Danio rerio: one gene and its partner. Each later gene encodes a partner of the first gene's protein in a complex. Links are inferred from orthologs where the notes say so. Each region holds a gene or a part of one and is shown in the gene's direction. Other genes may lie near its edges.

Region 1 (3,828 bases):
GTATATTCCAATTTATTAATTACTCGAATTATTTAATTCAACTCAACTTATTTTATCACTAACCCCAGTTTTATGTTATTTAATTTTTATTTTATTTATCCAAATCTGTTTAATCTTGTTGTTACCTCCAACATGTAACAAGTATAATTAATTTTATTCAAATTATTTCATCTTCAATTAATTTAACCATGCTTTGGGGCATTTTGGGCTCAAAATATTCCCTTTCACCATGCTGTCTCACACTTATCCCCATGTATAACTTATTCTAAATCCAGCATTACTAATTTTACCTCACTGAGTTGTTACAATTTAAAGTCGAAACCTTATATCTGTAGTGAAGCGTCATCTGTTCGGTGTTTCTCTTCTGGCAGTTGAGGACCTGTATGAAAGCGTTAACGATCGGGAAATCCGTCAGGTGTTTGAGGGGCAGAATCGAATTCACCTGGAGATCAAGCAGTTGAACAGGCAGCTGGCAATGATTCTGGACGAACAGCGGCGTTATGTGTCAGTCATCACAGACGAGATCAACAAACGCACCTCACAAGCACAGTCTGGACAGGTAGGACTTTTGAAATATGACCGAAGTGCATTTAATGACGTATTTAAAGTCCCCTGAAAACACATCAGAAACTGCTGTGAAAGTTATTTATTTATATATACAGTATATGCGCTTACATTTTCTGAATTCTAATTGTGTTACTGATTAGGAGTCCACTAGGGATAACCTTAAAAGAACATTCCACCCCAAAAGGCTCATTTTAAAAGTCCACTGGAGTTAAACCGTTGACTTGAACGATTTTGAATCCATTCAGCCAATTTCTTGTATTAATGGGGTCACTTTTAGCTTAACTTAGCATAATGCATTGAGTCAGATTAGACCATTACCGTTTTATGCAAAAAATTCAGAAAGCCAAAAAAAAAAAAAAAAAAAACTATAATAAAAGGAAATTAAAAAATTACACTTTTCTAGGTCAATATTACAGGGAACTATGCTCTCATTTTGTTGTAATATGCAAGAAATCCAGCTGCTGTAATATGGCTTCTTCAGGCAGGATGATATTGCGCAACACTTAACCATGCTTTCTTTTCTTTTTTTTTTAATGAAATGCTAATGGTCTAATCCGATTGAATTCATTATGCTAAGCTAAAACTCACCCCACCAGAACAAGAAATAAACTGAATAGGTTCAAAATAGTTAGTCAACTGTTTAACTCTTAGAAGCATTTTTCAAAAAAGGTGGCATGCTCCTTTTATATTTACACTTTTTTTTCTCCTAAGCTATTTAAAACATTAAAGCAGACAATTTTCTTGCATTTAAAATACTTTATGTATATACAGGGTTTCCGCGGGGTCTTAAGTGTAAAATTTTAAAAATCTAAATTTTAGACCTTAAGTCTTTAATTCGCAGTTCTAGGTCTTAAATATTTTTGCACAGGTCTCATTTTTCTGATGTCCATGTACCGCTTTATATAATGCTCATTTAAATTCTTTTTTTGTTGTTGTTGCTTGGTTTTTGTGGTGTTGTAGTTCTTTATTTCACTAGTCCTAATGTAATTTGCGGTATTACAACTACAAATGAGACCAACATGCAATCGCCAATCAGCTTTCTGTAATTGAACTTACTTTGAAGAGATTTTGTCTGAAAGGGGTATGACTGTAGTGTACAGACATCTTTATGATCCATTCATGCGTGATCATAAGGAGAACCAGGTGACCAGTAACTATTGGCTAGAAATTGCAACAGCAGTGGGAAAGGAGGAAAGTTTTTGTAAAAGTTTGGAAAAACCTGAAGGATACAGTAAGTTTGTTAAAGCAAAAAAAAAAGTGGCCATGCAAAAGTGGAGACCCATGTGGTTTTAATATTACAAAATATGTATTTCCACCATTCATAGGTTTTACTATAATGTATACAGCATATTACAATTTTGAAATTAAAGCAATAGTTACAAACTGAAATTATGTATCAGATAATGGCTTTGATAACTGGAAATTAATATATAAACCTATCGGTTTACAATATATTAATGCCCAATTTCTAGGCTTTATTGGTTTTTAGTCAGTGTACTTTTTGCTTTTATTCTTGCCATAATAAAAAAATATAATTGTAGAGCAACCCATGTTCTGTTGCCATGTAATTAACTTTCATAGGTAGAACTGTCCGAGATCTTAACAAAAGCAAGTGATGCATCAAAGTTTGATTTAAAAAATTTTGAATGGTTATAAAAATCTTTAAAATTATTATAATAAATTATACAAATATTTAAAAACAATTTGTTTAAAAATCTTTAATGATATGACCTAGTTCCAGAAACTTTCTACTTCTCTGTTTATCCATCTGATTTTACTGTCTGTTTCGCTTGACCGCCCCCTGTCATTTAAAAGAATATCTCAATGGCGAATGCGTCAAGTATAAAAGCCCCGTCTGTTTTGTGAGGTGCGCAATGCAGTGCCAGGCGAAAGTATAAAACAGCCTTAAGATGTTTGTTTGTTTTTTCTGTAGTTCAATGGTGCATCTAACCTGTCTTTAGTACTGTTCAATTTGAATACATTTATTTTATCACTAATTTTGTGGTTTTGCATTTTTCTGTGTATGTATGCGTGTTTTTGATATTGTGATATAGGTCTTAAATGTAATACTTAATGGTCTTAAAGTCTTAAATTTGACATTATGATATCTGCAGAAACACTGCATATAAAATCACCTTTGTATATATAAATTGATCCAGCAACCATAATGATTATCATAGCGGGAACACTTTAGAATAATGATCCATTAGTGTAATTAATGTATTTACTAACATTAAGTATGAATAGTCTTGTAAAGCATTTACTAACCATAGTTCAACATTAAATAAAATCACATCATCAGCAGCACGTGTACTATTATGAGTGAAAAGCTTAGATGCTGGCTCCAGACAGTGCAAAATACAACAACATACTCCAGAAAAGCAAAACAATATACTATTAGCAATGTTGACAGTGACGTGTAAAAGACAACAAGTACGCCAAGAAACTCGCATTACACACATTTAAGCACAGATAGACAAAAATAAAACAGTTGATATGAACCGTTTTTAATCCATTAAGACGATTTCTTGTTCTAGTAGGGTGACATTTAACTTAGCTTAGCATAACGACATAAATCAGATTAGACCATTAGCATATCATTATTATTATTTATTTATTTATTAATTTTTAAAGCATGGTTAAGTGTTCCGTAATATCACTTCTCTTGGTGAAGCCATGGTACAGCAGCTGGATTTCTTGTCTTAATTAATTATTTAACTAATGCATTATTCAAATCCAAAGTTGTGTTAAAACTAACTAATGTTATTTAATATTTAAAAAAAAAATTGGGGTCAATATTACAAGGAACTGTGCTCTTATATTGTCATAATAGGCAAGAAATCTAGCTACTCTACCATGGCTTCACCAGGAAGTAATGTTACACTGCATTTAACCATGCTTTTTAAAATTTTATGAAATGCTAATGGTCTAATCGGATTCAATTCATTATGCCAAGTTAAAATTGACCCTGCCAGAACAAAAAATTGGTTTAAGTCAATGTTCTGTTAAGGTTATCTTCCGTGTACTAATAAGCAGTAACACAATTAGAATTTAGAAAATATAAGCGCTCAAAACAGTTTCTTGCAGTTTCTGGTGTGTAATTTTCCTCCATGTTTCTAGTGGTCTCTCCAAAAGATATAAATCATTGATATGATCATATAGATCAAAGATATGATCATTATCTCTTGGAGAGAGGAATTATTTTTTTTATTTTTTTTTTTTTGCATGAAAGAAGACAATTATTAAATGTTGGCTAAAGAG
Region 2 (4,456 bases), on another chromosome or scaffold:
CTGTCCTATTTCTCTGAAATCCCCCCACTGCAAGATGACTAAATCTATTTAAGCAATTAAATCTTGTTAACTATTTGCAGGGCTGGTTGTAATAGAATTACAAGATCAAGAAAAAAAGCTGCTTCCAACATAGAGTCCGGCATGAGACTTGAGTTATGAGTCTGTTTACATGAAAATGCTGGCTATTTAATGCAAAAACGTCCACAGAATGCAAATCCTAATAAAATGAGACGCCTGTCCAGACCCCTACTGACATAATGGCCCCATCTAGTGGGCGACTTAAAATAATCCTGCTTGACAAAACTCAGCAAGACATGTACACTGAAGCCTGTAGCATACACACATCATTTTCTAATTGACAACAAAGGGCGGACTGCGGACTCTCTACTTTTTAACGTTTACAGAAACGTAAAATGTTTTGTAAAATTATTAAATTATATAGTTTTTTGCGTGGCACCGTCAGGACGTAGTTAATAAAAATCATTTTAAACTATCAAAATAATATTCATAAACTCAATAATGTATAATAATAAATCAATCATTAGCCTATATTCTACTGTTTCACAATTTAGCCAGTAAAATATACAATCAAAGGACTATAGTTGCTAGAAAACATCACGGCACGTCTACTGACTATAACGTTTCTACGATATCAACATCAAACTGAACCTCCAGCCGTCGGAAAATTGATTTGGCCCTTTCATTCTCTTTGCAGTGGTTTGCCATGCAGGTGATCGTGGTGATCTATTAACTAGCCACAAAACCATCATGAGTAACTGAAGCGCTCACTCATTCCTCTGCTGTCTGTGTGTGGATTACACCAGTGCGCTGACTTATTATGACGCTTAGTCAAATCCAATCAGCATGCAGCTGTCGTGTCCTGAAAAAAAATTTAGTTTATAGTTTATTATTCCTGAAATCTCTTTGAAATGTGAATATAATGGTTTAATAGGACGTTTAATTATGCTGGTCATATGACGTTAAGCCAATTAAAAAGCTGTTATTCCTAATTAGTTTGACACATCCAATGCCAACAAAAAATGCGATACTATTCGATTGTACTCTATAAAATGTTCTCTTTTTTTAATTATTAAAAATGATAAATTACGACTATATGAGATTTGATTTGGCTAATTATTTTATACAAAAATATAAACGTAATAAGTGAAATCCACGTCAAGAGTTTTACTTTAAATGTCATATAAGATATAACGTTGTATTTTTTACAGTATCAGCGTAGAAATAAAACAAACTAAAAATGAAACGTTGTAAAAATGTGTCCAATCAGAGTTTAGCTGTCGTGTCCATAAGGTGAAAGGCAACTACGGCAAGCGAAGCAGTCAGAAAGCGCGGCGCTGAGTAAACAACAGCAGGAGTTCGTTGTTACTCCACTGTGGCTGAACAAACAGGACGAATATTTGCCCGTCAACTGTGATTTATAACTGTGAGTAAATTATGTTTATGTTATCATGTCGCTGTATTTGTATTGATATCCTTGGACTTGAGCAACGCGAACGTGTAACAGTGACTGTTAAAGCAATGTTCAAGTTCATCCATATGTCAGCAACCATTTACCCTTAACACCACATTTATAAGAATAGATGTACGTTTTTCGTAATTGCACATATATTTAGCAAAATCTTAACTCTTAGATAAATGTGTGTTTGCTGTCACTGGTATTTATCGTTGAGGTCTGCTTTCAGCTGCAGTAATGAATGAAACTGTCATCCTAATTTCGTGCTCTCCCATCATTGTCTTGTGATTTCAGTGTAATGAGATTGAGAGAAATATCTGGGCAGCTCAGACTATGGAGCTGGTTCCTGGTCTGCTCCGGCTGTATGCTGTCTGTATGGGCCCATGGAGGACAACATGGAGAAGCAGTTGGCTCAAATCAAGTGCCCCCACCAATCACCCGCTTGGACAGGAACATGGTTCAGGATAGAGAGTACGTTTTCTTTCTTTCTTACATTCAAAATTGTAGGTTTCAAATAACGTTAGGTCTTAAAGTCTATGCATGTAGCACTTATTAATACTGAAAATAATGTTTTATGAGTAGCAACACATAATATTCAATGTATTTCCGAAGGACAGTGAAGAATCCAAATGATGTTGAAAACTAGGCTACATCCAACAATAAAACATTTTAAATTGTAATGAAACGTAAGCTTTAGAGTATTTTGATCAAATACATGAACCCTTGGTGAGCTGACTTCTTTTTAAAATATTTTAAAAGCCTGTTCTGCAGATATATAGATTGCATCAAATTCATGATGAAACCTGTCCTGTACCTGATTTGATGCACTCTTTTCCAAATTCCAAATGACCCCTGTGGCAGAGCAGCTTGACCTGATCTCTGTATTTCAGCAAATATGTTGGAAAATCAAAGGTTGTAATAAATCTCTCTCTTTATCTCTTAATATTTATTTATCTATCTATATCGATCAATAGGTATCTGAACTACAAGTTAAAATATTTTTTAAAAAGCTTATTCTGCTCACCAAGGTTGCATTTTATTTGATCAAAATACTCTAAAACTGCCAAATTGAAATAGTGTTACAGTTCAAAAGGAATGTTTTCTTGAATACAGTTTTCAACATCATTACTCTAGTCTTCATTGTCCTTCGGAAATCCTTTGAATATGCTATTCTGCTGCTCAAGAAACATTAATTTTATCAGTGTTTTAAGAAATGCTTGTAAAACCTTTTGTCACAATAACAGTTCTGTAACTCTAGTAAAGTTAAGGAGTCAAAACCCTGATTTTCAATTGCAACAAATGAAAACACTTGTTCTGTTGTTTTCTGGAAAAAAAAGAAAGTAAATGTTTTAAAAGGCATTTTATATTCAATATCTAAGTTTTAAGTACATGCTGTTCTTTATTTATGCAGTATAAAGGCTATCAGTAGATGTGTTTACAAATTCTTGCCAGAATTAATAATTTTGTGAACGTGAATCCTCAGATTTCTAAATGCATGTTAGGCATGGGCAGTATAAGATTCTGATAGTATGAAAACCTTGGATATCACGGTTTCACACTATCATGGTATTGTGATTGCTACTATAAAATTTTCTTTTTTAAATATCTGGTAAAAAAAAACAAAAAAATTTTTTATTTCCATTGAATGCAATATTTTTTATAAAAAAAAAACATTTGAAATAGTTTGGAGCAGTAAACGTGTCAAGCAAAATAATTAAAATAAACTTAACTTCTGTTTTCTTCATTAGTTTAAAAACAATTTGAAACTCTTTGTACAGTTCAGGTCCATAGCATGTTTGTATGTTGGTTTATAAGCAATAAGCAATGTTTCCTGAATAGTGGGCAGACCAACAGCTTTTGCTGTTGAGGGTCCTTTTCTGCTGGAGATACTAAATAAATGGTAATAAAAACTTGTATAAAAAAAAAAAAAAAAAAACCTTACATGTACTTTAGAAACGGTATAACAGAAAAAAATTACGGTTTTAATACTTTGACTTTTCCAAACCGCTGTCAACCTTGACACCGGTTATCTTCCCATGCCTAATGCATGTAGATGTTATTGTGTACTATTTATTTATGCCTGTTTCATTTTTAAAAATCTCTATTGTTTATTCTAAAAATAATCATCACAGTTGCATTTTAATACAAAGAAAAAAAGTCTTTTATTGCAACAGAATGACTGTCCCAAAGGTCACCATTATCAACTGAGGCTGATCATTTTAAAATCTCTGCTAAGTACCAATATGATTCTCACTGCATTTGAACCTTTCTTGTGTTCCGCTGTAGGCATATCATGGAGCATTTAGAAGGGATTGTTGAAAAGCAAGAGTCAGAAATGACACCTCAAGAGCTGCAGCTGCACTATTTTAAGATGCACGATTATGATGGCAACAATCTGCTGGATGGACTTGAGCTTGCCACTGCCATTACACATGTTCATAGGGAGGTGTGTGTGCTTTGATATTAAACTTGACATTATTCTATGTACTTTACAAGTTTAAAGTTTGGACAAATTATTCTTTAATGAGTATTGCATTTATTCATATTAACATTCTACTGACAGCAATCCATATTTGTTTCATATACTGTGTTTTTTTTTTTTTTTTCAAACCCCACTTTCAAAGTGATTTGGTTAAGGGAGGGAAATCCTTAAAAATGCTTGAATTTTAAACTAGTAAACTATTTTAAAAATTAAGATAAAACATTGTATATTTAATATGCTAAAGATAGTAACTTAATGTTGGCCTTGGCATAAAAATGCCATCTAATAGTTTCTTAGAATACTGTACTATATAATAAAATTCTGATTATCTGATAAAATGTGATGAAGTATGTATGTAATTTGCCAGACTTGTAAAGCGCTGGAAAATTTCAAAGATGCACCTGGAAAGTGCTTAAATTTGACTTTGGAAAAGGTGTAAGAACCCTGTATTTATTAGAGAAGAGATGGGGAATGTTACCTCAAACTGCAGTCAAAAATGT

The links.
Region 2: the proteins of lman1 (region 1) and mcfd2 are in contact, whole or in part, in a cryo-EM structure (PDB 8JP5), measured with the Homo sapiens proteins. The link is inferred for Danio rerio from reciprocal best matches to the Homo sapiens genes LMAN1 and MCFD2. Residues at the interface, in NP_005561.1 of Homo sapiens: His43, Arg44, Arg45, Phe46, Tyr48, Lys49, Ser51, Phe52, Lys53, Pro55, His56, Gln59, Ser60, Asp61, Val64, Pro65, Phe66, Trp67, Lys96, Phe265, Glu273, Lys279, Glu280, Ile281, Glu285, Lys286, Tyr289, Glu292, Phe293, Phe296; in NP_001164977.1 of Homo sapiens: Val59, Ile60, Asn61, Lys62, Gln70, Glu71, Leu74, His75, Phe77, Lys78, Tyr82, Asp83, Asn86, Asp89, Gly90, Leu91, Glu92, Thr95, Thr98, His99, Val100, Leu111, Glu114, Leu117, Ile118, Ile121, Asp122, Leu125, Asp129, Lys130.

What each region holds. Positions count from the first base shown.
Region 1 is NC_133196.1:12,080,356-12,084,183, forward strand, and holds part of lman1 (protein ERGIC-53 precursor), read left to right. Parts: intron 1-371; coding exon 372-559; intron 560-3,828. UniProt on the Homo sapiens protein: Mannose-specific lectin. May recognize sugar residues of glycoproteins, glycolipids, or glycosylphosphatidyl inositol anchors and may be involved in the sorting or recycling of proteins, lipids, or both.
Region 2 is NC_133188.1:9,056,101-9,060,556, reverse strand, and holds the start of mcfd2 (multiple coagulation factor deficiency protein 2 precursor), read left to right. Parts: upstream 1-1,328; 5' UTR 1,329-1,444; intron 1,445-1,768; 5' UTR 1,769-1,772; coding exon 1,773-1,945; intron 1,946-3,760; coding exon 3,761-3,920; intron 3,921-4,456. UniProt on the Homo sapiens protein: The MCFD2-LMAN1 complex forms a specific cargo receptor for the ER-to-Golgi transport of selected proteins. Plays a role in the secretion of coagulation factors.